7 linked regions of the Callithrix jacchus genome follow. The protein of the gene in region 5 interacts with the protein of the main gene of each other region in a biochemical or structural test. Links are inferred from orthologs where the notes say so. Each region holds a gene or a part of one and is shown on either strand. Other genes may lie near its edges. The genes, in order: JUN, RNF4, EIF4E, KLHL20, PML, SENP1 and HIPK2.

What was found.
Region 1: the proteins of PML (region 5) and JUN form a complex in vitro, tested with the Homo sapiens proteins (2 studies listed by BioGRID). The link is inferred for Callithrix jacchus from reciprocal best matches to the Homo sapiens genes PML and JUN.
Region 2: of the proteins of PML (region 5) and RNF4, one has a biochemical effect on the other in vitro, tested with the Homo sapiens proteins (3 studies listed by BioGRID, with this or other methods). The link is inferred for Callithrix jacchus from reciprocal best matches to the Homo sapiens genes PML and RNF4.
Region 3: the proteins of PML (region 5) and EIF4E form a complex in vitro, tested with the Homo sapiens proteins (4 studies listed by BioGRID and IntAct). The link is inferred for Callithrix jacchus from reciprocal best matches to the Homo sapiens genes PML and EIF4E.
Region 4: the proteins of PML (region 5) and KLHL20 form a complex in vitro, tested with the Homo sapiens proteins (3 studies listed by BioGRID and IntAct, with this or other methods). The link is inferred for Callithrix jacchus from reciprocal best matches to the Homo sapiens genes PML and KLHL20.
Region 6: of the proteins of PML (region 5) and SENP1, one has a biochemical effect on the other in vitro, tested with the Homo sapiens proteins (2 studies listed by BioGRID). The link is inferred for Callithrix jacchus from reciprocal best matches to the Homo sapiens genes PML and SENP1.
Region 7: of the proteins of PML (region 5) and HIPK2, one has a biochemical effect on the other in vitro, tested with the Homo sapiens proteins (2 studies listed by BioGRID). The link is inferred for Callithrix jacchus from reciprocal best matches to the Homo sapiens genes PML and HIPK2.

What each region holds. Positions count from the first base shown.
Region 1 is NC_133508.1:95,863,949-95,868,243, forward strand, and holds the start of JUN (transcription factor Jun), read right to left. Parts: upstream 2,801-4,295; 5' UTR 1,830-2,800; coding exon 825-1,829; 3' UTR 1-824. Other genes in the region: uncharacterized protein LOC128928178, read left to right, coding at 4,071-4,072. UniProt on the Homo sapiens protein: Transcription factor that recognizes and binds to the AP-1 consensus motif 5'-TGA[GC]TCA-3'.
Region 2 is NC_133504.1:190,644,863-190,647,717, forward strand, and holds the end of RNF4 (E3 ubiquitin-protein ligase RNF4), read right to left. Parts: intron 2,648-2,855; coding exon 2,498-2,647; 3' UTR 501-2,497; downstream 1-500. UniProt on the Homo sapiens protein: E3 ubiquitin-protein ligase which binds polysumoylated chains covalently attached to proteins and mediates 'Lys-6'-, 'Lys-11'-, 'Lys-48'- and 'Lys-63'-linked polyubiquitination of those substrates and their subsequent targeting to the proteasome for degradation.
Region 3 is NC_133504.1:98,561,735-98,565,726, forward strand, and holds the start of EIF4E (eukaryotic translation initiation factor 4E), read left to right. Parts: upstream 1-1,192; 5' UTR 1,193-1,317; coding exon 1,318-1,620; intron 1,621-3,028; exon of another isoform or gene 3,029-3,044; coding exon of another isoform or gene 3,045-3,047; intron 3,048-3,373; coding exon 3,374-3,480; intron 3,481-3,992. UniProt on the Homo sapiens protein: Acts in the cytoplasm to initiate and regulate protein synthesis and is required in the nucleus for export of a subset of mRNAs from the nucleus to the cytoplasm which promotes processes such as RNA capping, processing and splicing.
Region 4 is NC_133519.1:29,281,905-29,285,404, reverse strand, and holds part of KLHL20 (kelch-like protein 20), read left to right. Parts: intron 1-671; exon of another isoform or gene 672-778; intron 779-1,872; coding exon 1,873-2,006; intron 2,007-3,185; coding exon 3,186-3,394; intron 3,395-3,500. UniProt on the Homo sapiens protein: Substrate-specific adapter of a BCR (BTB-CUL3-RBX1) E3 ubiquitin-protein ligase complex involved in interferon response and anterograde Golgi to endosome transport.
Region 5 is NC_133509.1:20,897,471-20,901,432, reverse strand, and holds the start of PML (protein PML), read right to left. Parts: upstream 2,801-3,962; 5' UTR 2,705-2,800; coding exon 2,570-2,704; intron 1-2,569.
Region 6 is NC_133510.1:2,422,250-2,426,228, forward strand, and holds the start of SENP1 (sentrin-specific protease 1), read right to left. Parts: upstream 2,801-3,979; 5' UTR 2,618-2,800; exon of another isoform or gene 2,394-2,617; intron 2,375-2,393; exon of another isoform or gene 1,675-2,374; coding exon of another isoform or gene 1,666-1,674; exon of another isoform or gene 1,506-1,665; intron 1-1,505. Other genes in the region: PFKM (ATP-dependent 6-phosphofructokinase, muscle type), read left to right, coding at 1,666-1,674. UniProt on the Homo sapiens protein: Protease that catalyzes two essential functions in the SUMO pathway.
Region 7 is NC_133512.1:107,576,291-107,580,524, reverse strand, and holds the start of HIPK2 (homeodomain-interacting protein kinase 2), read right to left. Parts: upstream 2,801-4,234; 5' UTR 2,453-2,800; coding exon of another isoform or gene 2,428-2,452; coding exon 2,409-2,427; intron 1-2,408.

The sequences.
Region 1 (4,295 bases), on a different chromosome or scaffold from region 5:
GACATTCTTAACTTTCAACTCCACTTAGATAGCTAGTATCTATAGATGATGCAGAAAAGAGGTTAGGGGAGTACTTTTCAATAGTTTATTGCATTTTCTTAAATATCCTTTCTGGAATTTTCAGAAACAAAACATAAAAAAATTATATACTTTATTACAAATGGTAAACTCAGAGTGCTCCAAATCTCTTATTTACAAACAACACTGGGCAGGACACCCAAACAAACAAACAAGAAATAACTTACAAAGGCATGAAGCTGTTTATTGACAGTAATCAGCTTTCATCAAATTAAAAAAAATATATATGTACATACACAGTTAACGAAGGCAGGCCAGAAAGAGTTCATCTGCAGGCTCAGCCTCGCTCTCACAAACCTCCCTCCAGCCGCCCCTCCCCAACCCTCCCCCCCACGCTTTGTGTTCTTAAGGAGTACTACAGAAGCAATCTACAGTCTCTATTGCAGTTTGTAACCCCCTCCCCCTCCCCCCTTTAATACTGAATGAGATCGAATGTTAGGTCCATGCAGTTCTTGGTCAATGTTAACGAAAAGTCTAACGTTCCGTTCGCGCGGGGACAGCCCATCCGCAAAGCCGGGCAGCCCGCAGACGGCCGCTCCCTGGCTCCACGCCAAGGGAGTGCGCGCCAAGTCCTTCCCACTCGTGCACACTGGGGGCGCCGTCAGGACGCAACCCAGTCCAACTTGGATACCCTTGGCTTTAGTTCTCGGACACTTCTTTTTCCTCTCCGCTGCAACTTGTCAAGTTCTCAAGTCTGTCTCTGTTATTTTTTTCTCCGTTGCCCCTCAGTCCCCGACAGTCTCTCTTCAAAACGTTTGCAACTGCTGCGTTAGCATGAGTTGGCACCCACTGTTAACGTGGTTCATGACTTTCTGTTTAAGCTGTGCCACCTGTTCCCTGAGCATGTTGGCCGTGGACGCCAGCTCCGAGTTCTGAGCTTTCAAGGTTTTCACTTTTTCCTCCAGCCGGGCGATTCTCTCCAGCTTCCTTTTTCGGCACTTGGAGGCAGCGATGCGGTTCCTCATGCGCTTCCTCTCTGCCTTGATCCGCTCCTGGGACTCCATGTCGATGGGGGACAGGGGCGGCGTCTCGCCGGGCATCTCGGGCACTGTCTGAGGCTCCTCCTTCAGGGCCTGCAGTCGCGGGTGCTGCACCGGCATCTGCTGGGGCAAGTGGTGGGGCGGCTGCGGCGGCTGCTGCTGCTGCTGGGGTTGCGCGGGAAAGGCCAGGCCGGCCGCGCCGTAGGAGGGCGCCCCGCCGCCGCTGCTCAGCGCTCCGGGGTTGAAGTTGCTGAGGTTGGCGTAGACCGGCGGCTCGCTGTGCAGGCTGGCGCTGAAGCCGCCGCTGCCACTGCCCCCCGCCACCGAGGCCACCGCGGGAGCCACCATGCCCGCCCCGCTGACCGGCTGCGCCGCCGACGTGACGCTGGGATGTGTGTTCTGGCTGTGCAGCTCGGCCAGGGCGCGCACGAAACCCTCGGCGAAGCCCTCCTGCTCGTCTGTCACGTTCTTGGGGCACAAGAACTGGGTGGGGGTCGGCGTGGTGGTAATGTGCCCATTGCTGGACTGGATGATGAGGCGCTCCAGCTCGGGAGACGCCAGCTTGAGCAGCCCCACGTCGGGCGAGGTGAGGAGGTCCGAGTTCTTGGCGCGAAGGTGCGGCTTCAGGCTCCCCACTGGGTCGGCCAGGTTCAGGGTCATACTCTGTTTCAGGATCTTGGGGTTACTGTAGCCATAAGCTCCGCTCTCGGACTGGAGGAACGAGGCGTTGAGGGCATCGTCATAGAAGGTCGTTTCCATCTTTGCAGTCATAGAACAGTCCGTCACTTCACGTGAGGTTAGTTTGGGCTGCGCGCAGAAGTTTCGGGGCCGCAACAGCGCTCTGGCAAGCGGGGTACACCCGCGTCCCCCCGGGCCTTTGGCGGGGAAAGTTTCTCTAAGAGCGTGCGCGCCTGCTGGCAGTCGTCCCCGCTGCGCCCTACTCACCAACTCGCTCCTGGGAGCGCAGGGTTAATTAAGATGCCTCCCGCACTCTTACTTGTTGGCTCGCGCGCGCTGCCCGGCTTTGAAAAGTCGCGGTCACTCACTGAGCGATCTTCGGTCGCAGCGGTTCCTCGGAGCCCGCGGGCGAACTCACTTCCAGGAGCGGCGGTTCTCCCAGAGGCGCGGATCAGTGCGGACCCCGCAGTGGCCAGCCGGCGGCGGGTCTCGGCCGCCCGGACTCCGACGACTTGTCCCCTCCTCCGCTGCGAGGGGGAGGGGGCGCCCGGCAGCCGCGGCTTGCGCTCGCCCAAGTTCAGCAACCAGTGCGAGCGAAGCTGAGCGCACGTCCTTCTCTCGCGCGTCTCTCCAACGCCTTTTGGTCTTTACCGCCGTCGAGCAGCCTAAGGCGCAGGAAAGGCTTGCAAAAGTTCGCTCCGGGACTCTGGGCCACTTGGCCCGGGTCCTCCCAGCCGGGAAAGTTCTTTGCCGCTGCAGCCGCTCGCCGACGTCCCCCGGCGGGCGCGTGGGTACCGCTGCTCTCCGCCGCTGTCAGCAGCGCTTGGGCAGCGGGGTTCTTCTCCCGGGGGCGGCTGGAGACCAGGCTCTCCCCGCACTCCTCGAAACACCAGCCCCGGAGCCACAGGCGCTAGCTCTGGGCAGTTGGAGAGAAGATGGAAAAGAAAAGATTTGCAGCTCGGACTCTACTGCAGTCCTGGCTGTCTGGCTGTGTCTGTCTGTCTGCCTGAGACCGCGCACCTCCACTCCCGCCTTGCTGCTTCAGCCACACTCAGTGCAACTCTGAGCCCTTATCCAGCCCGAGCTCAACACTTATCTGCTACCAGTCAACCCCTAAAAATAGCCCATGATGTCACCCCAAGGCTTTCCCATTGGCTCGCGTCGCTCTCAGGGGGGCGGGCCCGCCCGTCGCCATGGAGACTCCACCCTAGAAGATTCTTCTCTAGGCCCGCGGAGGCTCACGGGATGAGGTAATGCTCCGTTGCCCTCCTACAGTCGGTCCCTTCTTTCTCCTCCCCTCCCCCTGCCGCACGCCTCTCGGCCCTCTCTTCCCTGGTCTCCTCCCCCGGCCGTTTTTGCTGGCCCGCCCGGTGCATTGTGGGCTGACGTCTTGGGGTTTGACTGTCTAGTGACGGTGGCTGCCGCGAGCGGGCGGACGCTCGCAACGTCTCTGGGGTGGGGGGGGGCGCTCAAGTTCACGGCTCCGGACAGGGATGCAGAGATGCAGGGGATAAGGGGACGCGGGAGGCCAGGGAACCCGGCCAGTTGTTGGGGGCCAAGGGTGCGGGCGAGGGGTGGTTGGGGTTTCTCCACTTGTGGGGCTCGAAGTCATCCGCCGGCGTCTGCCACCGCGCGGGGCAGGAGGCTGAGAATCCAAGTCTGTGGCCCCCCCCGCGCACTTCCGGGGGCGGGAGCACCGCCCTTAAGGTGGCTCTGTGAAGTCCCAGTTGGGGGCGAGCCTAAGGGCGCTTAAGTTTGGGGGCGGTCTCGCGAGAGTCGGCCCCCCAAGTTGAGAACGCTCGGAACTTTGTCTTGGTCTAGTTCAGGAGCGATGGTCCGCGGGGTCGTCTGGCTGCTCATAGAAGCCGAGAAATTTGTATTGCCCGAAACTGAACGCTCAGCTGAGTCTCCGTTGCACCTCTCTTCATCCTCCGGGGACGCGGGGGTTCATAGCTTTGCCTTGGAGGGGCAGTTTTTATAGTGAGAGCAATTAGTGGGTAACAGGGTCCAGATGGGAACAAGCATGTAGGCAATCCGAAACTTGGGGAAGCCCGGTGTTAGTATACTCCCCCTCCCGCCCCCGGACAACACGCACACGCTTAACACAGCACGCTCAACACACAGGCGCGCGCGCGCACACACACACACACACACACACACACTCCATCTGCGCCGTGTTGCTTCCGGGAAAACAAGCCCAGAAGGCGGCGGACGCTCGCATAAAGTCACGCAGTAGAACTCGGAGCCCGGGATAGAACCTGGACTTCAAATCTCTGCACTCCGGGCCGGGTTGTGGGCCCATATCCTGGGTAGCCTCTAGGAAGCGCTAGACACATGTAAGTGGTTCCTTTTCCGCGGTTGTTATTTTATCTCCCCACCACCCCCCCCGCCCCCACTCCTTAGGGACGAAAGTGTGTGGTGGAAAGAATCTTGAAGTCGGGAATCCTGGTTCTTTCGTGGCCAGGCTGCCACAGTGCGGAACGAGGAAATCATGGAACTTCTCTGAGCTTCATGTCCCTCATCTGCCGGTGGGGCCGATGCAGTATACCTCCCTGGGCT
Region 2 (2,855 bases), on a different chromosome or scaffold from region 5:
AGGCAAAGGGACAGATTGGCCACACTGCCAAGTCCAATGCCTCCTTGTGGTTTTGCTGGCACTGCTCACCTGTGGCAGTGACTGGTGCATCTACATACTCCGAGCGCTGACTCCCACTCAGAGGGCAAATTCTGTATCTGGGTGACCAGGGGCAAAGGGGGGCACTGCAGTGCAAGGTCTCCAGGGCAATCTTAGCCCATCCCACTCAGAGCAGCACCCCCAGCACCTCTGAGAGGCTGGCCAAGCTGGGCAGACAGCTTCTCGGTCAGCCGTGCCTCTCAGAGTCGACTCTGCTCTCTTAGGGACTCCAGGCTTGGGCTTGTGGCTCTGTTCTCAGAATAGCCTTTCACATGCTTGCTGGATTTAGGACGGACAAACTTCATGAACGCACAGCGATGTGAAATATACTCAATGCAAGGCAGATAAGAACCCCACACCTTGGCAAAAAGGGGGGAAACAGACTCTTAATTCCAAAGAGAAAATGAATGTGTGAAAGATACTTGGTTCAAATTAATGGTTTTATTTCCATCTTTAACACTAGCAGAGGAGTCCAAAACAGATTGATATCCATGGATATAGTTTAAATGTAACAAAGAAAAAGCTGAACTATGTACACTGAAAAAAGGAGAGACATTTTCATACCAACCTTTTCCTGGTTTGCAGTTTCTCAATAGTAGAAACCAAACACATTAAAATTTTTTTTTACCAATTTAATTTAGGACGAAGTAACACAACTTTTATTATCAACCACTTGAGTTATCTTTAAGGATAAAACTTAAAGAAATTTAAAAATGGGTATTAACCATATTTTATTAGTGGACTGGCTCCAAGGTTGCCTTGCTCCAAGTCTGGGCATCACGACGTTGCCATGACACCCAGAAGAAAGTTAATGGCAATGATGTCCAGTCAGAGGGCAGACACGCTAAACATCATGACAGTGAGAGCTGAGCCTCCTGCCCTCTTCAACTCCAGGTAGAAAACTATGATTTTCATTCAAACTAACTGAGCCAAACAGTTAAAAAGTCAGAATGAAGAATAAAACTCTTTTCTTTTCACATAGAGGAGGGACACTCCTTCAGCCCCATTTAAAGTGAGTTCTGTGCTGAGTCCCTGCTCCTTCAGAAGGGTAAACTGAAGGTCAGTTATTGCTAACAAAGCCAGAAGTGGCCCCTTTCCCACTCTGAAGCTGTTTCACTGAAAAGGCCGTTGGTTTGGCTTGAAGCCCTCGGAGGAAGGAGGAGTGAGGAAGAGGAGGCAGGCTGGCACTCTAAGGCCTCTCTCATTAGCCACCCCCAGGCCCTGTGCTGTCAGGGGCACTCTGCTGCCCCTTGAGAGAACCCGAGGCTCCCACACCTGTGGAGTGAAGGAGAGGTTGTCATCTGGGTTCCTGTGGGGGGACAAGCCACTGTGTTTGCCAATCAAAACCTATGGAGTAGTCAAAAGCCCAAAGGATCCAAGCCCAACTGTGCAGAGGAGCAGTTTCTGAAGTAAATGCCACTGGGTTGGGAAGGAGGAGGAAGCCAAGTCAGGTGGGCCAGGTTCTCTGAAACGTGGGGCAACAGTGACTGGGGCAAAAGCCTGGAACCGAGCGGCTGCTAAGGCCACGGTCACAATTACTGCCACCACCTCTCAGCACCTATGCGGGGGCAGACATGAGGCAGTGGGAACTGAGGACTGGAGGGTGTGTGGTGAACACAGGATGGATTTTATCAGAAAGGAGAGGACACCCACACAAGTGCCTGCCCTATTTGACTTGCATGTCCTGTGCCAGGTGAAGGACACTGGAGCGTGGGTACGGTTCCTGAGAACAGCTGGTGGGCAGAAAGGGGCTGGGATGGGCACTGCTCCGCAAGCAACATTAGGCCTCTGAGGGTGTGCTAACAGTGCTACATCTTGAGGGCTGCTGAAAAGTAGGTAAAGAATAGCCTTTATTGCACTTTTTCCTTCTTAGAAAACGGGGGATTGCCCTGCAGTTTCTCTTTTTGCAGAAATCACTGCAGATCAATGGTAAGGTGCGGGCAGAATCACGGTGACCTCAAGGGGCCACTCTTGCACCTGGGATCCTCGAGCTGCGTGAACCAGGTCTGGCTTGGTCAATGTGTGGGCAGGCAGACTGGTCAACCGGCAGACACTTGGGACAAAAGGTGGGGTGCCTGGGAGAGCTGGGGCAAACTTTCCAAACAGGGAAAACTTCTTGGCAACTGTGCACGTTCTCCAAGCAGACTAGAACCACAGTTCCCAATTACAATGTGCCTGACTCCTCCCTTTCTCCTAGCCCAGAGGAACAGAGATGAACTGGGAGGGTCCTGGGCCCAGTGCCGTAGCATCAAACTGGAGATAACAAAAGGAAGGGGCTGGAAACAAAAGAGGGGTTTACATCTCGGACGTTGGTTTCAAAACAGTCTTTCTGAGCTCAGGAAAATGGAGGCAGATAGATACCACTGGAGAACCTGGCTGGCTGGCTGTCCATCCGTCTCTCCTGAGCACTCTGAACACCTCAGATATAAATGGGGTGGTACCGTTTGTGGTTGATCTTTTTCCTACAAGTTGGGCAAGTATTAGCATTCCTCAGGGAATCACGGAGGCACTGGCTACAGAAGACATGGCCGCATTCTGTGGAAACGATGAGACGTCCATTCTGCACAATCTAGAAGGCATTATAAGAAGAGGCTCTGAGTTTGCCCTTGCCCCAGAGCAGCCACTGTCCCCAGAAAATCCCACCCCTGTCTATGCCTAAGATGACCAGTTAGAGGAAAGAGCGAGCCAGGCTGCAGCAGCAACAGGGAGGGGCTCTGGAGAGCGAACTGTACCTGGAGCTGGAGAGCAGGAGGCAGGGGCTGTGGCATCTCAACAGT
Region 3 (3,992 bases), on a different chromosome or scaffold from region 5:
AAGACATACATACAAAATGTAAGCCTGAATTTGATTAGTTTCAGCGGATATAAAATTGTCAAATTGCTACAGATTTTCTAAGTGTTTACTTTGCATTTCTATACTTAACCTCACTGTCAACCATGACCAGTTTGTGGACCAGCAGTAGCAGTCTGTAGATAGTCTGTGGACTGTACTTTGAGTTACTGGTTCAAACTATTATTAGTGCCCAGGGGGATTAATGATGATTACGTACTTCAAATATGGCGTGGGGAGATCTGTCTTAACCTGGAAAAAAAATTTTGGAAATTCCTATGAGTAAATAGGTGTTTTTTATGTGTATTTGGGTTGAGAATTGCTGTGAGAAATCTTGAATGTTCAAAACCGTGGAAAAGCACATCATGGTTTTGGAATTTAAGCAATGTAGATTTGAACATGGTGAGGAGAATCTAAAATTTAGTCAGATTTATTGAAAACACCACAGAATGATGTTAGACCTGGGAAATATTTGCCTCTATAAATTAGGATTGTCCCATAAGATTAATATTACACCTGTGCTAGTTTTGCAGAATGTAGTAAAAAGCTACCTGACATTCTTGGCAGCTAATTGTTAGGGTTTTCTCACCCTTGCTTGTCTTTTTTCTTCCCTTTCAACTTTCTTTTGTTGCTATGACAGTTTATTCAGCCCTGGGTTTGCTAAATTTTAATACTAAACATTTTTATTTGAAGCTGATGAACTCAGCAAATCTAAAACCAGGTTTAATACTTTGCTCTTAAATTGGTGATCTTTTGTTTTCTTGCCATTTGGATTTAATCTCTTTGACCTTCTAGTTAATGTCTTTCATTGCCCCCAAGATGAAAGGTACACTTTTAGCCTGACCTGAGGCCTTTAACAGTCTCACTCCAACCTATCATTCTAGCTCTTCCCTTTCATAAACTTTGTCTTTCAGCCACACTGGTTACTATCTGGAGGAACACAGCACCATCCATGGCCTCACTCTTACACTCTGTTCTACTCACCTAAAGTATGTTACACAATGCTTTTTCAAGGGAAGATTGTCTATTTTAGTTTAAAAATGTGTTCGATTACTTTGAGTTAGCCATAATCTGCTAAATTAGCGTTTACTTTTTTGTTCAGGTAGTTTATAAACCTAGAAATATTGGTCATTTAATTTTTTTTACTTTTTTTTTTTTTTAATTCCCCAATAGAACCTGAGGTTGGTCATTTAGGATGTATTTTCCAGTGAAATTTTCTCACTGAGAGAACACCAGCCTGAGAGAGCAGAGAGGGGAATATGGTAGGACTTTGCAGTATTTTTATTTTATTTTATTTTTGAGATGGAAGTCTTGCTCTTGTCCCCTAGGCTGGAGTGCAATGGCTTGATCTTGGCTCACTGCAACCTTTGCCTCCCGGGTTCAAGCGATTCTCCTGCCTCAGCCTCCCGAGTAGCTGGGATTACAGTTGCCTGCCACCATGCCTGGCTAATGTTTTTATTTTTAGTAGAGATGGGGTTTCAGCAGGTTCGCCACTCTGGTCTTGATCTCCTAACCTCAAGTCATCCACCCACCTCAGCCTCCCAAAGTACTGGGATTACAGGCGTGAGCAAAAGTATTGGACCTCCGAAAGTACTGGGATTACAGGTGTGAGCCACCTCGCCCAGCCGAGTTTTGTTATTAAATTGAATGTAAACTTAAAACTTTTTAAGTGTCTATAGGAAGCAACCTTAAAAATAAGATTATACATCTTAAAATAGAACTTGTTTCTGGAAGTATTTTTTAGTTCCCAAATAGATGATATGAAAAGATGGCTGTGGCCATTAAAAATTCTTATGGTATTATAGAGCATTTGTTTCATAATCAATCTATATAATTAAAAGTGAAGATTAGAGAGTTTAAATTAGTATACTTATTGATTTGTACATACACACATTTAAAAATGTATAGCTTTTTTTTGTTTAAAAATGTGTAGCTTTTTAAAGTTGTTGGAAAAGTACAAAATAATGTGTTCTTAATATGAAGACTATAGTATCAATTACTTAAAATGGGACTTCTAATTCAAAATAACACTTTTAAAATTTTAGGAACTGAATGTTTTTCCTGAGTGATTATCTACTTTTAGTTTCTGTATGTCCAAAGATTTGATTACCATGTTAGTATTCCATCATTTCCTCAAGAATGAAAAGAATGGAATAATAGAAAAGAAGAGAAAGAACTAAATTAGTTTTAAAATGATGTTTTGGACTCTATGAAACTTGTAATTAATCATATTGTAATTCACTATTTATGTGCTGCTGAGGTAAAAGGTTTAAATAAGTGTTGCAAAAGTATGGTTTATAGTGAGGATTTTGAGCTTATGAGTAAATTTAAGAGAATTTAGCTATCTACTCTCAGGTCTTTTGGATAATAAATATTTGACTACATATCTTGTTGTGTTAACATATATCTCTAACTTTTGTTTGCTGCTTCAGTAAATCTGATATCCAGACACTTGTTGCATTGCCCCTTTTTTTTTGTATCAGTCTTTGTCCTAATGCCTTTCTATGGATGTCTTGTTCTGGTGACAACAATTTATTGTAGTGTGAAGAGCTACATGGAAGAATGTGGTGAACACCTATTTTAAATTACTATTCTTCTTTTCTTACTGATATTTCTAGATGACAATGTTAATTATGCCTAGCCTAAAAGAAGATTTAAGTTCAAACCAATGTCCATCATCTTAGAGTCCATTGAAAATGTTAAGTTGCCGAACTTTTAGGTTACCATAGGGTAAACAGTATGCCATGAAGGCAAGACTGGCATATCATTGGCTTGATCACTTTACAAAGCTTATTTTGTCATCATAATATAGTTTTGTTTGTTTCTTTGACAGGGTCTTGCTGTGTTGCCCAGGCTGGTATCAAACTTCTGGGCTCAAGCAATCCTCCTATTTCAGTCTCCTGAGTAGCTGAGATTATAGGCATGCACCACAGTGCTCAGTGATAAGTTATTACACTCTTGAAACTTTAGTTTCAATCCTCTATCCATCCTGATATCACCTTCAATACCATATACAGTATCTTAATGAGATGGTATGTTAAGAAAGATAGCAGATTTTCCTAACTTTGTTGCATAATCTGTGACAGTCTTCCTGCTATTAAAAAAAAAGTATAAGTGGAAGGATAACCATAGATACTATTATATTTTCCAGTTTGAGAAACCCTTTGCTCTTAATGAAGAGATACAAGAATAGAGAATGGTTCTTTAGAGGTTGGTCTATGGTCTGTTTAATGAAGCAATCTGCTCTAATTACTTCTTCTTAAAAAATATTATCAGCATGTCAGTTCAGGTTTAATTAGAATATTCCTATCATAGGTGTGTTAAGAAATTTAAAATAATGTTTTATATTTTATACTAGGAAACCACCCCTACTCCTAATCCCCCGGCTACAGAAGAGGAAAAACCAGAATCTAATCAGGAGGTCGCTAATCCAGAACACTATATTAAACATCCTCTGCAGAACAGGTAAGCTTTCTGACACCTAGGTTTTCTGAGTTAGGCCACAGGTAAGGGAAAGTTAGATTATGAGGCTAGTTTTAGATATGCTAAGGTTGAGGGTTCTATTTTTCGCTTGGATGATCCATGACTAGCAGACAGTTTTATGTGTGAGTCTTGAGCTCAAAACAAACTAGGTGAGAGATTAGTTTGAAATTCTTCAGTATATTGGACGTAATAGAAGCCACATTATTAAGTAAGTTCCTTTAAGGAGAAGTGAACTTTACTCAGGACAAAGACCTGGGATACTAGCATCATATAGGGGGCTTTTGTTGAAGAAGAATGCCTATGAAGGATGGATATGCAAACTAAGAGTGGTGGTCGCTGGATATGGTGGCTCACACCTGTAATCCCAGCACTTTGGGAAGCCAAGGCAGGTGGATCACCTGAGGGTTGGGAGTTTGAGACGAGCTTGGCTAACATGGTGAAATGTCTTCTCTACTAAAAGTACAAAAATTAGCTGGGCATGGTGCCGGGTGCTT
Region 4 (3,500 bases), on a different chromosome or scaffold from region 5:
TTTAAGACAAAACTAAGGGAAAGGATATTCTCACAAACTCCAAAACACAAATGGGCAAAGAGAAACTACCACTGGCCACAAGACCTGCATGAATCTTCAGGAGAAATCAGAAAGAAGCAATTGGATGTCTGACAGATCTAAGAACAAAAGAAAAATTTTTAAGACTCTAATTATTTGCCTTCAGAAGATCATAGGGATCAAATTTATTATCTTAAAACTTGTAAATAAAGTGAAAGAAGTGAGCATATGTCCTGCCTTTATATGAACTGTGTCATATGAATTGAATAAGTAAATAGTAGATAAAATGATTGTTTCTTTATAAAATTATCCCAATTAAAGAAAATAAGTGGTAGAATATTATCATTTTGCAATACTTAGTAAATTATTGTATCTAGACATTGATAAACAGCTGCTAACACACCACCCTCTGTACTCTTGTCAAAGGAACCAAACTTCTGGATCCAGCTACCAATTTGCAGAACATACAAAGGACAGAGGAACAGAATTGCACTGCATTATGAATGTATAGTCAACCACATCCATATTATGGGGAAATTTGTTATACACTCCGGGTTCTAAAACAGATGAATTGCAGGGAGGAAAAGGAATGGAGGGAAACCCTGTAGATAATAATAAACTTTTTAAGTTGTTTTTTTTTTTTAATTTTTTTAAAAAATATGGAATGCTTCACGAAGCTGCGTGTCATCCTTGCACAGGGGCCATGCTAATCTTCTCTGTATTGTTCCAATTTTGGTATATGTACTGCCAAAGGGAGCACTAATTTAAGTATGTTTTTTTTAGAGATAGGGTCTCACTCTGTCGCCCAGGCTGGAGTGCAGTGGTACAATTGTAGCTCACAACTGTCTGAAGCAGTCCCCCTGCCTCAGCCTCCCAAGTAGATGGAAATGCAGGTGAACGCCACCATGCTTGGCTAATTTTTTTTCCCCAAATCTTTCATAGAGATAAGGTCTCTCTGTGTTGACCAAGCTGGTCTTAAACTCAAACTCCTGGCCTCAAACAGTCCTCCAGTCTCAGCCTTCCAAAGTGCGGGGATTACAGGTGTGAGCCACTGCACTTAAGCTTTTTTTTTTTTTTTTTTTTTGTCTCAGCCAGGCACAGTGACTCACCTGTAATCCCAGCACTTTCGGGGGGCCAAGGGGAGAGGATTGCTTGAGGCCAGGAGTTTGAGATTAGCCTGGTCAACACAGATTGACCTATTATTAAATAAATAAATATTAATTTATAATTTTAAAAATTAAATGCTAATGAGTATATAAACACAAGGAAATGATAACTGTTAAAAGTCAGGATAATGGTTACTTTGTGGGAAAGAGAAGATTGAGATTGGAAAAGGACACATTGCAGGACTTCCAGAGTGGCATGCAAAGTTCTTTTTCTTGGCTTGGGTGGTGGTTTCTAGGGGGTTTTCCTGATTATAACTCTAAACTATACATTTTTGTGTGTGTGGCTTTCTGTATTTTTATTTTACAGTTTTATTTTATAATAAAAATGTTGTTTTAAAGAACTGTGCAAAATACTTCTACTTCCAAACAGGATGTAGTAGAGAATAATAGCCATCACTCCAACTATAACAACTAGAAAAAGACGACAAATTACAAAAATCATATTTTAAAAGACATCAGAGGCATGTAAAAATGAACTAAAATTTCATTAAAGAGCCTGTGTATGTGAGCTGTGACAGGTTGTTTTTTTCCCTGGGGACATTTTCCAAGTCTGAGTAGAAAATAGCTTAATAACTGGCACAGACATAATTGTGACTTTTTTCTAATGGCTATTAGTGTAATTTCAGATCGTATGAAAAAGGTTTCACTTAATAAGAACAAGCATACAGTCTGGTTTCCCTCACTACAGGTATGATCCAAAGGAGAACAAGTGGACTCGGGTAGCTTCTATGAGTACCAGAAGACTAGGTGTGGCTGTGGCTGTGTTAGGAGGGTTCTTATATGCTGTAGGTGGCTCTGACGGGACATCTCCACTCAACACAGGTTAGTTCTTTCCAAAGGCAATTAGGTTCCCCAAAAGCAGAACATTTTCCTGGAGAGTCCTCCTACAAAAAGTATAAAAACTCCAGGTTTTCCTAGGAAAATGCTTTATTTTCCCTCCAGGAGAGTGCAGCTCTCAGTTCTTCCTCAGCTCCTACTGTAGTCATAGTCTGAGTATATTCCCCAGATATTTCTTTGTTCCTGTTTTACAAGCTGCTGGAAATTTATAATGAATTTTAAAAACTACTTTCTTATATAATTAGTTCCTTTTACCATCACAACTTCTCCTAAAAAAAAAAATACTCTGTTATAATCTAAGAATAAATAAAAACTTAGAACTACAAATCAGTTTATTTGGATTTTGTTGTTTTTGTTTTTTTATGACAGGGTCTCACTCTGTCACCCAGGCTGGAGTGCAGTGGCACGATCTTGGCTCACTGCAACCTCTACCTCAGAGGCTCAAGCGATCCTCCCACCTCAGCCTCCTGAGTAGCTGGGATTACAGGTGTGTGCCACCACGCCTGGCTGATTTTTGTATTTTTAGTGGAGATGGGGTTTTGCCATGTTGCCCAGGCTGGACTTAACCTCCTGAGCTCAAGCAGTCTGCCCACCTCATCCCCCCAAAGTGCTGGAATTATAAGCTTGAGCCACTGCACCTGGCCTGGTTTGTTATTCCTTTCTATTTAGATATTATGGGTATATTTGCCTAAGGATATTGTTAGTGTGACAGTCATGCCAGATTAATTGTCACGTCTTCACTTCAGAGGCTTAAAATGCACTATGCTAGAGGGAAGGGAATACAGGATACAGAAGTTTTCTGATTATGATGATGAATTATTAGTATTTATTGATCATGTAGTCAATCTCCCCACTTAAAAACAAGGAGAGTGAGGCCGAGAGTCATGTAGCTAATTATTCATTTAGTCAAAACTAGAACCTGGAGTATCTGAACCCCAACACATGCCCTTTCCACTGTACTATACCTAGAAGAAACCAGCCCCTAATGAGAGTATATGTCATACTGTCCAGAGGTATACAAATCCTTCTCAGAAACAAAAATCAGATCATGTGGATCATGTGTTGAAAATATGTGTTATCACTAAGTATCAATGGCTATAAAGAAAACTGGAGGTGAGAGGAAATGGTTGAATGCTCACTTACTGGTTTTTCTTTTCTGTACAGTGGAGCGCTACAACCCTCAGGAAAACAGATGGCACACTATAGCCCCTATGGGGACCCGGAGGAAACACCTAGGCTGTGCAGTATATCAGGACATGATCTATGCTGTAGGAGGTAGAGATGACACTACAGAGCTGAGCAGTGCCGAGAGATACAACCCCAGAACCAACCAGTGGTCTCCGGTGGTAGCCATGACATCACGCCGTAGTGGAGTAAGTGGAGTTGATGAGAGTATATGTCATACTGTCCAGAGGTATACAAATCCTTCTCAGAAACAAAAATCAAAACAAAAACTTAAGTTGCTTCCAAATCTTGGCT
Region 5 (3,962 bases):
TACTTTCATTTTCAGTAAATCTCTGCTTTCATTGCTTCATTCTTTCCTTGCTTTGCTGTGCATTTTGACCAGTTCTTTGTTCAAAACGCCAAGAACCTGAACAACTTGCAGTCAAGAGCCTCTACTGTGACAATTCCACTTATATGAAATATCTAAAATAGGTAAATTCACAGGGACAGAAGGCAGAACAGAAGTTTTCCAAGGGCTAAGGGAAGGGGGAAATGAGGAGCCATTGCTTTGCTGGGACTCAGGACACACCACTTCAAAATATGACTGCAGGAGGCCAGGATATGCCACCCCTGAAATATACTTCGTTGGCATATTTTAAGCTGGTTATTCTGAGGAACTTGCTGATGCAGGAATACCTCTGAAAAGCTTTCCTTTTGTAAAAAAGAAAGACATTTACATCTTAAAATCTACATTAGTAAAATGATCTATATTAGAAGAGGGTGGCTCCAGACATTTTTTATTTTCTAAGAATTTTTTTATTGTATTTTAGATTTTGGGGTACATGTGAAGAACATGCAAGATTTTTGCATAGGAACACACATGGCAGTGTGATTACAGGGAGGGGAGCATCACACACTGGGGTCTGTGGGGGGGGTGGAAATAGGGGAGGGACAGCGGGGTGTGGGAAGTTGGGGAGAGATAGCATGCGGAGAAATGCCAGATATAGGTGATGGGGAGGAAGGCAGCAAATCTAAGAACTTTTTATCTGCAGGCCGGGCACAGTGGCTCATGCCTGTAATCCCCGCACTTTGGGAGGCCGAGGCGGGTGGATCACAAGGTCAAGAGATCGAGACCATCCTGGTCAACATGGTGAAACCCCGTCTCTACTAAAAATACAAAAAATTAGCTGGATATGGTGGCGTGTGCCTGTAATCCCAGCTACTCAGGAGGCTGAGGCAGGAGAATTGCCTGAACCCAGGAGGCGGAGGATGCGGTGAGCTGAGATCGCACCATTGCACTCCAGCCTGGGTAACAAGAGCGAAACTCCGAAACTCCATCTCAAAAAAAAAAAAAAAAGAATTTTTATCTGCGTAACAAGACAACCTCTATTTACCAAGCAGCTCCTCCCCTCCCCCTCCCATAACTTATATCATCACCACCACCCAGAAGCTCCAAGCTCCTGTGGTTTCTGCAGCTCAGGATGTTACCTAGACTTCAGTCATCTGACCCTTCTTTGAGTCTCGTACTTCTGGGGACTCCTGCGTATACATAGGTAATTAAATATTGGTTTTTCCTTGTTAATCTTTTTTATGACCATTTAATTCATAGCCCAGCCAAGGAAACTAGAAGGGTGGAGGGAAGCCATTTTTTCCTCTCCTATGGTTTAAAGGGTACAGAGTTTCTGGAGTAATGAAAAAGCTCTGGAAATGGTGGTGATGGTTACACAATATTGTAAATTCTTACAGCCACTGAATTGTACACTTAGAAATGGTATACACAGAAACTTATGCATTAGGTATATTTTACCACAATTTTTAAAATACAAAAACAGCCAGGGTGTGGTGGCTCACACCTGTAATCCCAGCACTTTGGGAGGCCAAGAGGGGCAGATCACGAAGTCAGGTCAGAACCAGTCTGGCCAATATAGTGAAACCCCGTCTCTATTAAAAATACAAAACGTTAGCCGGGTATGGTGGTGCGCGCCTGTAATCCCAGCTACTTGGGAGGCTGAGGCAGGAGAATTGCTTGAACCCAGGAGGAGGAGGTTGCAGTGTGCAGAGATCATCCCGTTGCACTCCAGACCTGGCTACAGTGCTGGACTCCGTCTCAAAAAAACAAAAACAAACAAACAAAAACAAACTCAAAGTGCTTAATAACGTACCTGGCACATTCGAAGTGTTCATAAAAGTTAGCTAGCATTGTTAAGTAATACTAAGTTGTAATAATGCTAACAAAAGTTACTGTAATACGGTTTCCTCTGAGCTTTCACGAAGGGGAGCGACAGGGCCTGGAAGGCAGCAGAGGGAGAAACCCAAGTAGTTCCTTTGGGAGTGGGGGTGGGAGGTGGGCAGGAAAGACCTGCCAAGAGAAGGGTTCAAGAGGCTTCCGTAAGCAGAAAGCACATAAGCTGGGAGGCCTTGGCAAAGATACCTCTTCAGTGTGGGCCACAGTGTCTCCCCTCGGATCTGCGAAGTCGGTTTTAGTTTTGCTGTGATGGGACATGCTCCTGGCTCCAGACCTGCGCAACAGGGCTACTACCTCCATCCTCCCTAATCTGTGGTCCGGCATCTGAGGCAACAGGGTCGAGGCAGGGCTCCAGGGTGGGCGTGAGGGCCCAGTCCCGGAGGCCACAGACCCTTCTTGCCCAACTACTCAGTGGAGAACCGCAACCCAGCGAGACCCCCCCGCCAACTCCTCCGGGTCCCCTTTTCTACTCTATCCTATCCTCCCTTCCCTGCCCCAGCCGAGAGGGGCAGACCCCAGTGTCTGGTCTTCCTGCTTTGTGTCACTCTCTAGGGTACTTGACCCAAGTCCTTCGTTAGAACCTCTCTCTTCCGCCCTCTCCCCACCACAGCAAACCAACAAAGCCTAACCCCATCGTTCCCTAACCCAATAGTACCTCTGCAGGGCTGTGGCTGGGGCTGGGCTGGCGGCCTTCAGAGGGGGTGTCGGGGGGAGGCATGGTGGGCGCGTGGGGCCGGGCGGTGTCCTGCTGGGGCCCCGGAGATCGGGCGGGTGCAGGCTCCTGCTGCATGGACCCCAGCTTAGTTTCGATTCTCGGTTTAGATCTTGGAGGGCGGGAGGAGAAGCTGAAAGGGAGACGTGAGCCAGATGGCAGATCCCCTAGAGCGGTCCGAAAGGGGAGGTGCCAGTTCAGGGCCCGCCTCTGGAGAGGAAGTGAGACAGGAGCTGGGGGCGGTTCTAGGGGCTGAGAGGCAGATTGGGGGTTTTAAAGACACGCCCAGAGCGGGGAGAGGGGAGAGGCTGGGGAGCCGCTTACCCACACCTGACTTATGGTAAAGCGGGAAAGGCGGGGAGGAGCTGCAGGGGGCAGCCTCGCCCCCGGCTTTGATCCATTCATCAGTTCACACTGGCACTGCCTCTTGCCACCTCCTGCTGGGAGCTGGGCGCAAAGAGATGAGCCACGCATGGCCCCTGCTTTCAAAGAGCCCTAGATGTAATGGAAGAGCAAGCCTGCAAACGGAGACATTCTGGAAAGGAGAGCCCTGAACTGGGACCCGAAAAAGCAGTGGGAATTCCCCAGGGATTCAGGGTTGTAGGTGGTGGGGTACAGGGGACACTTGAAACAGAAGGGATAGGCTGGGTACGGTGGCTGACGCCTGTAATCTCAGCACTTTGGGAGGCTGAGGTAGGCAGATCCCCTGAGGCCAGGAGTTCGAGACCAGCCTCGCCAACATGGAGAAACCCCATCTCTACTAAAAATAAAAGATTAGTCGGGTGTGGTGGCACATGCCTATAGTCCCAGCTACTCGGGAAACTGAGGCAGGAGAGTCGCTGGAGCCCAGGAGGTGGAGGTTGCAGTGAACTGAGATTGCATCACTGCACTCCAGGCTGTGCAACAGACTGAGACTCCATCTCAAAAAAAAAAAAAAAAAAAAAAAAAAAGAAAGAAAGAAAAGAAAAAGAAACAGAAACAGAAAGGAAAGCTCCTGCAAAACGCATGGAAGTTTGAAACACAAACGCCTGTTTGGGAACTAGTTTTGGTCATTTTCAGATTTAAGAGAGAATTCATGAGAAATGATGCCCAAGGAGTGTTCTGAGACAAGATCCTAGCTAAGGAGATTGGACCAGGTCCGTGAGTGATGGGAAGTTGGTGAGGGATTTGGAACCAGGGAACAGCACAATCAGCTGTGCATGCTGGGACAGTCATTCTGACAACCTAGGGGCAAGAGGCCTGTGGACAGTGGCTGTGGGATGCAAAGGAGGGACTTGAGCCAAAGACCCTGGAAAGCCAGTGCCTGGAGGTCAGGGAGCAGGGTGATGCCTTGAGT
Region 6 (3,979 bases), on a different chromosome or scaffold from region 5:
TTCCTCGTACACACTGGTCATTTGATTTCCTGGAAGAACATAAGCAGTTACAGTCATTCAGATGAAGTCGGGTTAGTAGCTGAACACAAGGTGAAGGGAAATCTGAAAGAACAAAAAAGATCAGGCTTGACAACTGCGGTGACACATTTACAGTCTTACACACATGCAAAGGGGATTATAAAAGACAATGTTCAGGGCTGAAATGAAGTTACTAGAAAATATATATTGAGCTAATGTTAGCTTTATCCAAGACCAAGATGTGGTGAGCAGAATTTATGACATGAGAAGGGTATGAAAGCAATCACGTGAAATCACCCTTTTCCAAGTTCTGAAAAAGTTATGTGTACAACAGTTGTACTGTATCATCATGTGCTTGAGGTTATTTCTTCCCCTCTATCTTTACATGTAATCTCTCCCAATCAGACTCTAACACCTTAAACACCTTAACACTCTAACACAGTAAACCCTAAGTATTCAAATTTTTTCATACATATTCATTTACTGTGCACCAACTACGTGCAGGGTGCTGGGAATACAAAAATGATTAAGAGAGCGTCCCTGCCACTGAGAAGCTCACTGTCTAGTAGGGAAAGCCAGATCCGTAAACAGATACAGCAAGACAGCAGAGCTAGTACGATTGATAGAAGAAGAAGTTCGGAAGAAAAAGACAGATTTCCAAAGGCGTAGTCAACAACTGCATGCCCTTAGCCAGAAGTAGCAGAACCTGTTTTTGCATCCATCTACTCCCTCCAGACAGCTCGTTAGATGAGTGATACGAAGACCGTCTTTGCAACTGGGGTAATGAATTGAAGTCAGTTAAAAATGAATAAGCCTGGGCTGGGCGCGGTGGCTCAAGCCTGTAATCCCAGCACTTTGGGAGGCCGAGGCGGGTGGATCACGAGGTCAAGAGATCGAGACCATCCTGGTCAACACGGTGAAACCCCGTCTCCACTAAAAATACAAAAAATTAGCTGGGCATGGTGGCGCGTGCCTGTAATCCCAGCTACTCAGGAGGCTGAGGCAAGAGAATTGCCTGAACACAGGAGGCGGAGGTTGCGGTGAGCCGAGATGGCGCCATTGCACTGCAGCCTGGGTAACGAGAGCGAAACTTTGTCTCAAAAAAAAAAAAGAAAAAAAAGAATAAGACTTCCTAAAAGGTACTAAAGAAGAAAAATAAAGGGGGCGGGTGGGGGGTTGTAGAGTGGAAGTAGGTTAAGGGATCATCCTTAAAGAGATGATTAAAGTTTCAGTGTAACTGTAATTTCAAAGTCAGGGTAATCTGTATTTCAACACGAGTTGAAACACAAATTATTTTTATGAACGATAAAGATTTAGGAGACGATGTGCTCTAATCCGTCCAGAATAACCCATTACAACAAAGACCCTCAGTGAAATCGTTGGTAGTAGATAAAAGGCTTTATGTGAATATTACAAGAATCACCACCACTCCAAGTATAATGTGTACCAAAGACGAAGTAAAATGACTTTAACGAGGCTGACTTGACAGTGATAAAGGAGCAAGTGATGCCAGCCAGATAGTGGAAATACTGCACAGACACCGATAAACAGAAATCCCCAAGCTCGAGGGAAGGGAAACGAGGCGCATATCCAGGACCACGTTCGGGTGCACCCAGGGGGCCGGTTCCAGGGAATTACCCGGAGGCGATGAGCCAGGTAAGCCACTGGGGCCGTGAAGGGGATCTTCATAACCTGAGCAGGAGGGTCCGGCCGTGTCTTTCTGCTGGTGGCACCAGCGGTAGCACCGCTCAGGGAGACACCACAGAGCAAGAGAGTTGGAGAAATGTTTACGTGGGGCGCAGGGGGAGTCCGGAAATACCACTCAGGTCTCAAGGAAGGCGGGAGGTGAAGCCGGCAGCGTAGACGGCCGAGCTTCCCGGGGAAAGCAGCTCTCCCTACGCAAGACCCTGCTCTGGCGGGAAAGCCCCGGAATCCCAACCGGCCTTTTCCCACAAGTACGGCAGGGCGCGGGGATGGGCCTGTTGTAACGGCTGGGAGACGGCCTCTCCGCGGCCCGGGAGAGAGGACCGCAAGGAAGGGCCTCAGGTAGCCTAACGGCCACCGGCGGCCACCGCACGGCCACCGGACAGCAGGGGGGAGGGGAGGTGGTCCCAGGGGGCGGGGCAGAGGTAAAGGCGCCGGCCCCACAGTGCTCCTCGCTTCCGCCCAGTCCAGTCCGGGCCGGCGGACCGGGTCCGACACAGCCTCCTGGCCCAGGTTCCCTCCATCCTCACCCCTCCCCCAGCTTCCCGCCGCCACTCACCGAACCGGAACCGGCTGCCATGCGAAGGGGTTTCCGGCCGGGCGCGGAACGCAAAACCCGGGAACCGCCGCGAACCGGAACCGCCTTCACAGCACCGGAAGAGCCGTTCGGTGGCTGCGGAGGAAGGGGGTTGGGGCAGGAGGTCAAAGAGCAGAGCTAAGGACCAGTGGGACGCCTGCGCGGTGTGGCAAGTCCCCAGAAGTCAAGGGAGCATTTAAGACGAGTCGTAATTTCTCAGTTCCCTTTTCAGTCTGGGCCTTTTCGCTTTCTCGCGCCCGGAATACTGTTAGTGAGCCCTTCGTCCTATGCTTTTCTCTGTTCCCTCAGCTCCCTTACCCGCCTCCTTCTGGTTCCGCTCGGCGAGTTTTGCTTGCGTTCCAGTTTCTATGGCAGCTTTTCGCTGCGGCCCCAGATCTGCGGAAACCCGTGGCTTCCCCCGACAGATGGAGACCTGAGATCTAAATCGATGTCAGGCTATCTCGTGTGCTGTTGAGAATCACAGAACGTTAGCGCTTGTACAGGTTATTGGAGATAGTTTATGGTCTTAACCGGGTTCAGAGAAGTGATTTCCCAAGGGTTTTAAATGCATGTCGCATCTAAGACTCGGAAGCAAGTTTCTTAACTGGCAGTTCTGCTCTGCACCACCTCATGCTTGATGGACCAGCATACAAAAAAGAGAAAGCTGCTTGGGGACGGATGAGGTTAGGCTCTGGCAAGATGTAGAACCTTCCAGAACTCTGGAGGGATTTGAAACATAGGCAGGGCTGTGAGGAAAGCTACTGGGAGTCCACCAGAGATCTGCTTTTCTGGGTAGAGATAGGGAAGGAACCAGGAATCACCTGTGACCTCTGAAGGGCTTGGTTGTTCCTAGGTCTCATTGATTAACCTGAAATCTGCCATACTTTCTAAAAGAAAATAATGGGAAGAAGTCAGTCACGGTGGTTCACATCTGTAATCCCAGCACTTTGGGAGGCTGAGGCGGGCAAATCATGAGGTCAAGGGTTCAAGACCAGCCTGACCAACGTGGTGAAACCCGGTCTCTACTAAAAAATACAAAAATTAGCTAGGCGTGATGGCGCACGTCTGTAGTCCCAGCTACTTGGGAGGCTGAGGCAGGAGAATTGCCTGAACCCAGGAGGTGGAGTTGCAGTGAGCCGAGATTGCGCCACTTCACTCCAGCCTGGCGACAGATCACGACTCTGTCTCCAAAAAAAAAAAAAAAAAAATACGGAACTTAGCCGGGCTTGGTGGCACGCACCTGTATTCCCAGCTACTTGGGAGGCTGAGGCAGGAGAATTGCTAGAACCCGGGAGACGGAGGTTGCGGTGAGCCGAGAATGCCCATTGCACTCCAGCCTGTGCAACAGAACGAGACAACGTCTCAAAAATAAAAAATAAAAAGAATGAGAAGAAATATGTTTGCTCATTCAGACTGTTTGTCAAACACCTCAGCTTGGCAGGCCTCTGGACCCAGGTCCTGTAGAAGTCTCAGAGAAATCCCCCCTCAGTAGGTCCTTTACACTCATACCACAGCCACAGGCACAGTCTGAGCTCAGGCTTGAAGAAGGGCAGTTTCTGGAGGCCCATGCCTTTCTAATACTCTTAGCAGCTTGCTGAGTTCCTGCCCTATCAAATATCTCAAAGTACATTGTGTCGCCCCATATGTTGATACTTACGTATTGTCAAGTCCTGAGGCCTA
Region 7 (4,234 bases), on a different chromosome or scaffold from region 5:
ATTTAACATGCCCACAGGGAGTCCACGTGCTCTGATTGAGACAGGGGAAAAATCAGGTTCCCTGAACCCAGCGGATGTCACTACGGCGGGAGAAAGGAGGTCATCAGAGTCTTGGCACACTCATCGCAGTGAGTGAATGTGGGTCCTAGCAATCTAATCCTTGATTCTAGAGGTCACCTGTCTGTTCTGAGCATATCCAACAGTCTCTTTCAAAAACCCCCGGCCGTGGGCTTTCGGCAGAGTGATGTGGGCTAGTTGAGGTGGGGTGAGAAGGAAGATTAGAAAAAGAATGATAAAGGTGCACAGAGACACACCCGGAATAAAAGGGTGCACAGCGCAGGAATAATGAAGAGGGCACATGGACAAGATGGAGGGAAACCGAGGTCTGAAAAAGGCCACCACGGAGGTCACCTGAGACAGGGAAGGAAGGCTGGCAAATAAAAACAATTCATGAGACCTTTGAGATCCATGAGGATTCTTAAACATAACACCCTACACACCTGCAGTTCTTTATCTGGCTTAAGGAACTGGAGGAACAATGTAGCAGGAACCGGGAGAGGCCAAGTCTCAGCCTCCGGGGCACCGCCTACATTCCATATGGATTTAGAATGAAAGGGGCAGGAGAAGAACAGTGCGGTTCCCAAGATGGCTTTCCATAAAGTTGACAAAATACATCCCAACTCACATACCCGGTCCCTAGTAACAGGGAAACCAGCCGTCTACTATAGTTCTGAATTCAATGCCAAGTTCCTTCTCTCAACTCACCGAGAGTGTCCAGCAGAGGGAGTCTCAAGGAGGTACTTAATAAAGAGAAAATTGTTTCATTTTAACACTCTAGACAGTGGGAGCATTGACTGTAGCCCCCTCCTGTAGACGCAGATGAACAATGAATGGCCGACATGGGTTCTCCCACATGTTCACATGTCCACCGGCATGTTCTATTCTGAGTGGTGGAGTGATCAGAAATTTCGTTTTGTTTTGTCCAACGGTTAAATGGACCTTGTGTTCTTCAGAATCAAAGAGGAAAGCCCCTGGAATAACATCTCTCTGTTGCCTTCTAAACAGCCCCTTTGTTTCTAAGAGAGTCTGAAAAAAAATATTTACAGTCCATAGGTTATTTACAGCCTCGTTATCCAGGGCCTGACTGGTAACTTTATTCCGGCCAGAAATCTAATTCATTTGGAGCCCTGGAACTAATAACAGATTTTCTTTTCAGATAAGTTTTTTTTTTTTAATCAGCCTCTTATAACAGAGATAAAACTATTAATGCCTTCCCTGTCTCACTGGCCACAACTGTTCTCTGGATTTATAGGCGGATTACACTCCCCCCTCATGCCCTCCTCTGTGACACATAAACCCTGTACCCTCTCATTTGCGATTTCACCCCACAGAATATCCGAACAAAACCGAAAGAAAGCCAGGGGGACCCACGCTAAAAGTATGTGAAGGCTGCGATTTCAATGATTTCACGAGACAAACATTTGCACGATGAAACAACAGAAAAATCAGACACACAGGTTTAAAATTCCCCCTACTACAAGCACACAAAAACACATCGAAGTGTAAAAACTTAGTTGATTCTGGGTTGCTTTCTGGCTGGAAGCTGACAGAACGGACCGAAGAGAAACGAAACAGAGTGTGCGAGGCAGACCCACGGCTTCTCCGCCTCGCGTTCTTTTCTTTCTTCCTAAAGGCAGTCAAATGGGGGAAAACACCCCGACGCCAGGTGAAGGTGCACCACACAGGTCGACCCAGACTGAGCCAGAAAAACGTCTCCGCGGCTTCCCCGGCTGGAAAACCCAAAGTCCACGTACCCTTGCACACGCTAATGCGGGGAGATTTTCGCCTGTTTCATTGTTCTGCCTGGCTCTGACATGGACTTTTCATCCCTCTCCTCTCTCCCCACCTAGCCCCGCGCGTTCCGATTCCACGGCCCCCCCCCAAAATCGGAGGCTCGCGGAGAATAAAGGAGCGTGGGGTGGGCGCGGAGAGAAATGGGAAGGGGCGCGGGGCGGAGAGCGAAGTGGAAAGGAGGTGCTCCGAGAGGTAGCGTGGGGGGGCGGTGGAAGCTGAGCCGCAGCACCTTCATTTATCGCAAATAAATAAAAAGCACAGTCACGGGTCCGCCTTCCCTGGCGCCCCTGCCCTCCCCGGGCAGCCGCCCACCCTCGCACACGCCCCCTCCCTTCCCGCGCCCCCGGCCCCTCTCCCCGCCCTGGAAGCGGCCCCGCCGGCGCCGGGTCCCGGTCATCTTCCGGGCGCGGGAGGGGGTCGCGGCCCCCTCGGGCCCCGGGTGGGGGCTGGGGCGGGCGCCGGGGGCTGCGGGCGCGGGGCCGCGGGCAGAACAAAGCTGCGGGGGCCGCGGCGGGGCGGCGGGAGAGGGGTCGGCGGGGCCGGGCGCCCCTTACCTTCGTACACGGGGGCCATCGGGGCCGGGGTGTCCGCGGTTCATGGCAACGGGGACGGGAAAGCGGCGCGCGAGCTCGGCCCCCCCAGCCTCAGTCGGAATCTGCCATCTTGAGCCTGTGTCTCCGCTCTCGGCGCAGCCGAGGCCGCCCGCGCCCGCATCACCGCCTCCCGTGGCCGGCGCCGGGGGAGGGGGCCGGGCGCGCCGCCGCCGCCGCCGCCACCGCCGCTGCCGCCCGGGCCCGGCGCGGGGGGCTCGGGGCTCGGGGCTCGGGGCGGCCGGGCGGGCGGAGCGGCCGAGGCCGAGGCGCCGAGCGGCCGCGGCCCCCGAGCGGGTCCGCGGAGGGGCGGGAGCCGGGGGCAGCGCGCGGCCAGGGCCGGCGGGGCTCAGCTCAGCATGGCTGGGCGCGGGGGCTCCGCAAAAGTTGCTAACGGAGGGGGGCGGCGGGCGGGGGCGGGGCGCGGGGCCGGGAGAGCCACAGGGAGTCCGCGCGCAATCGAGCGCCGATGGCACGGATGCGAGGCGGGGAAGGCCGAGCCGAAGGGCAGAGCCGCGCCGGCGGCCGGAGGGGACCGCGCGGGGAGGGGCGGCCGCGCAGCGCGGAGGGACGGGGCGCGGGGCGGGCCCCGGGGAGCCGCTGGGGGGGCGGCCTGGGCCGGGCAGGCACACGGCTCCGAGCCCAGCGCAGCCAAGCCGGTCCGCAGAGGGGCCCCAGAACTTTGTGTGTGTGTGTGTGTGTGTGTGTGCACGTGTGTCTGTGCGCGCGCGCGCGTGTGTGTGCCAGGGTGCGAGGGTGCGCGCGTGCTGGCCCGGAGCGGAACCGACCCTAAGGAGAGCCCCCGGCTGCAAAGTGGTTCGCCCGTCTCGCAGCCCGTTGGTTCTCGCGGAGGTAGGAGTAGAATGAATGAAGGAAAGAGTGGGAGCGCGCCGTGCTCCCAGGGAGGGCGGGTGAGTGGACGAGCTTCGGAAAGCTACACGAGGTCAGAGGCACCAAGCCCTGCAGTGCACGCCGCGGAAAGGCAGCCCCCGGGGTGGTCGCCGGGTTCCTGCCGGAATCTGGCTTCCAAGACACCCTGATCTTCGCCTCGTCGCGTCTACACTGTCCCGAGCCCCACCCTCCCCGCACCCCATCACTTGAATGGGAGCTCACAACTGTCTGGGTCCTCGCTTGTCTCAGCGCTCTCTCCGATCAGGGCTTCCGCTAAACATTCTCCAAACTCTCCCCAGCTTGGAGCCTCTACAGGTTTGCCTCTCCAGCTGTCTCCCGTGTGCTTGGATAGGATGCCCTGCCATCCCCTCCAACTTAGGAAGACTTGTTGAGTCTCCTCTTAAGCTGTTTTTAAAACTGTGGGTCGTGACACATTAATAAATCATAAAATAAATGCAGCGGACGGCAACCGGCTTTAAAAAAGAATGAAATTGAATCCAATAGAAAATATTAGAATCCACTGCCCTTAGTAAGGGAAACTATTGTTTCATAAACCTTTTGTTTCAATTATAGGTACTGGACAAGTGTACTGGAGCATGATGTCAATTTTATTTCCAACTGTGGATCGTGGGTTTAACAAAGTTGAGAAGCTATCTTTTTAAGGTGTAAAATAATCATCTCTAACACTGTATGACTTTCTTAAATACAACCCGATGATTTTCTCACTACTTCATATCCTTTCCGTTCTCCATCCTCTATTCCCCCCCAAAAAGGCAAGCTGTTTCCCACTTCGTTAGTGGCACATCACAGCCCCTTCCTCTGTGTGATCTTGGACTCCGCCGTCTTCCTTGCCCCCCACAATCAATGCTACACTTCCTACCACTTCTCTCAACCTAATG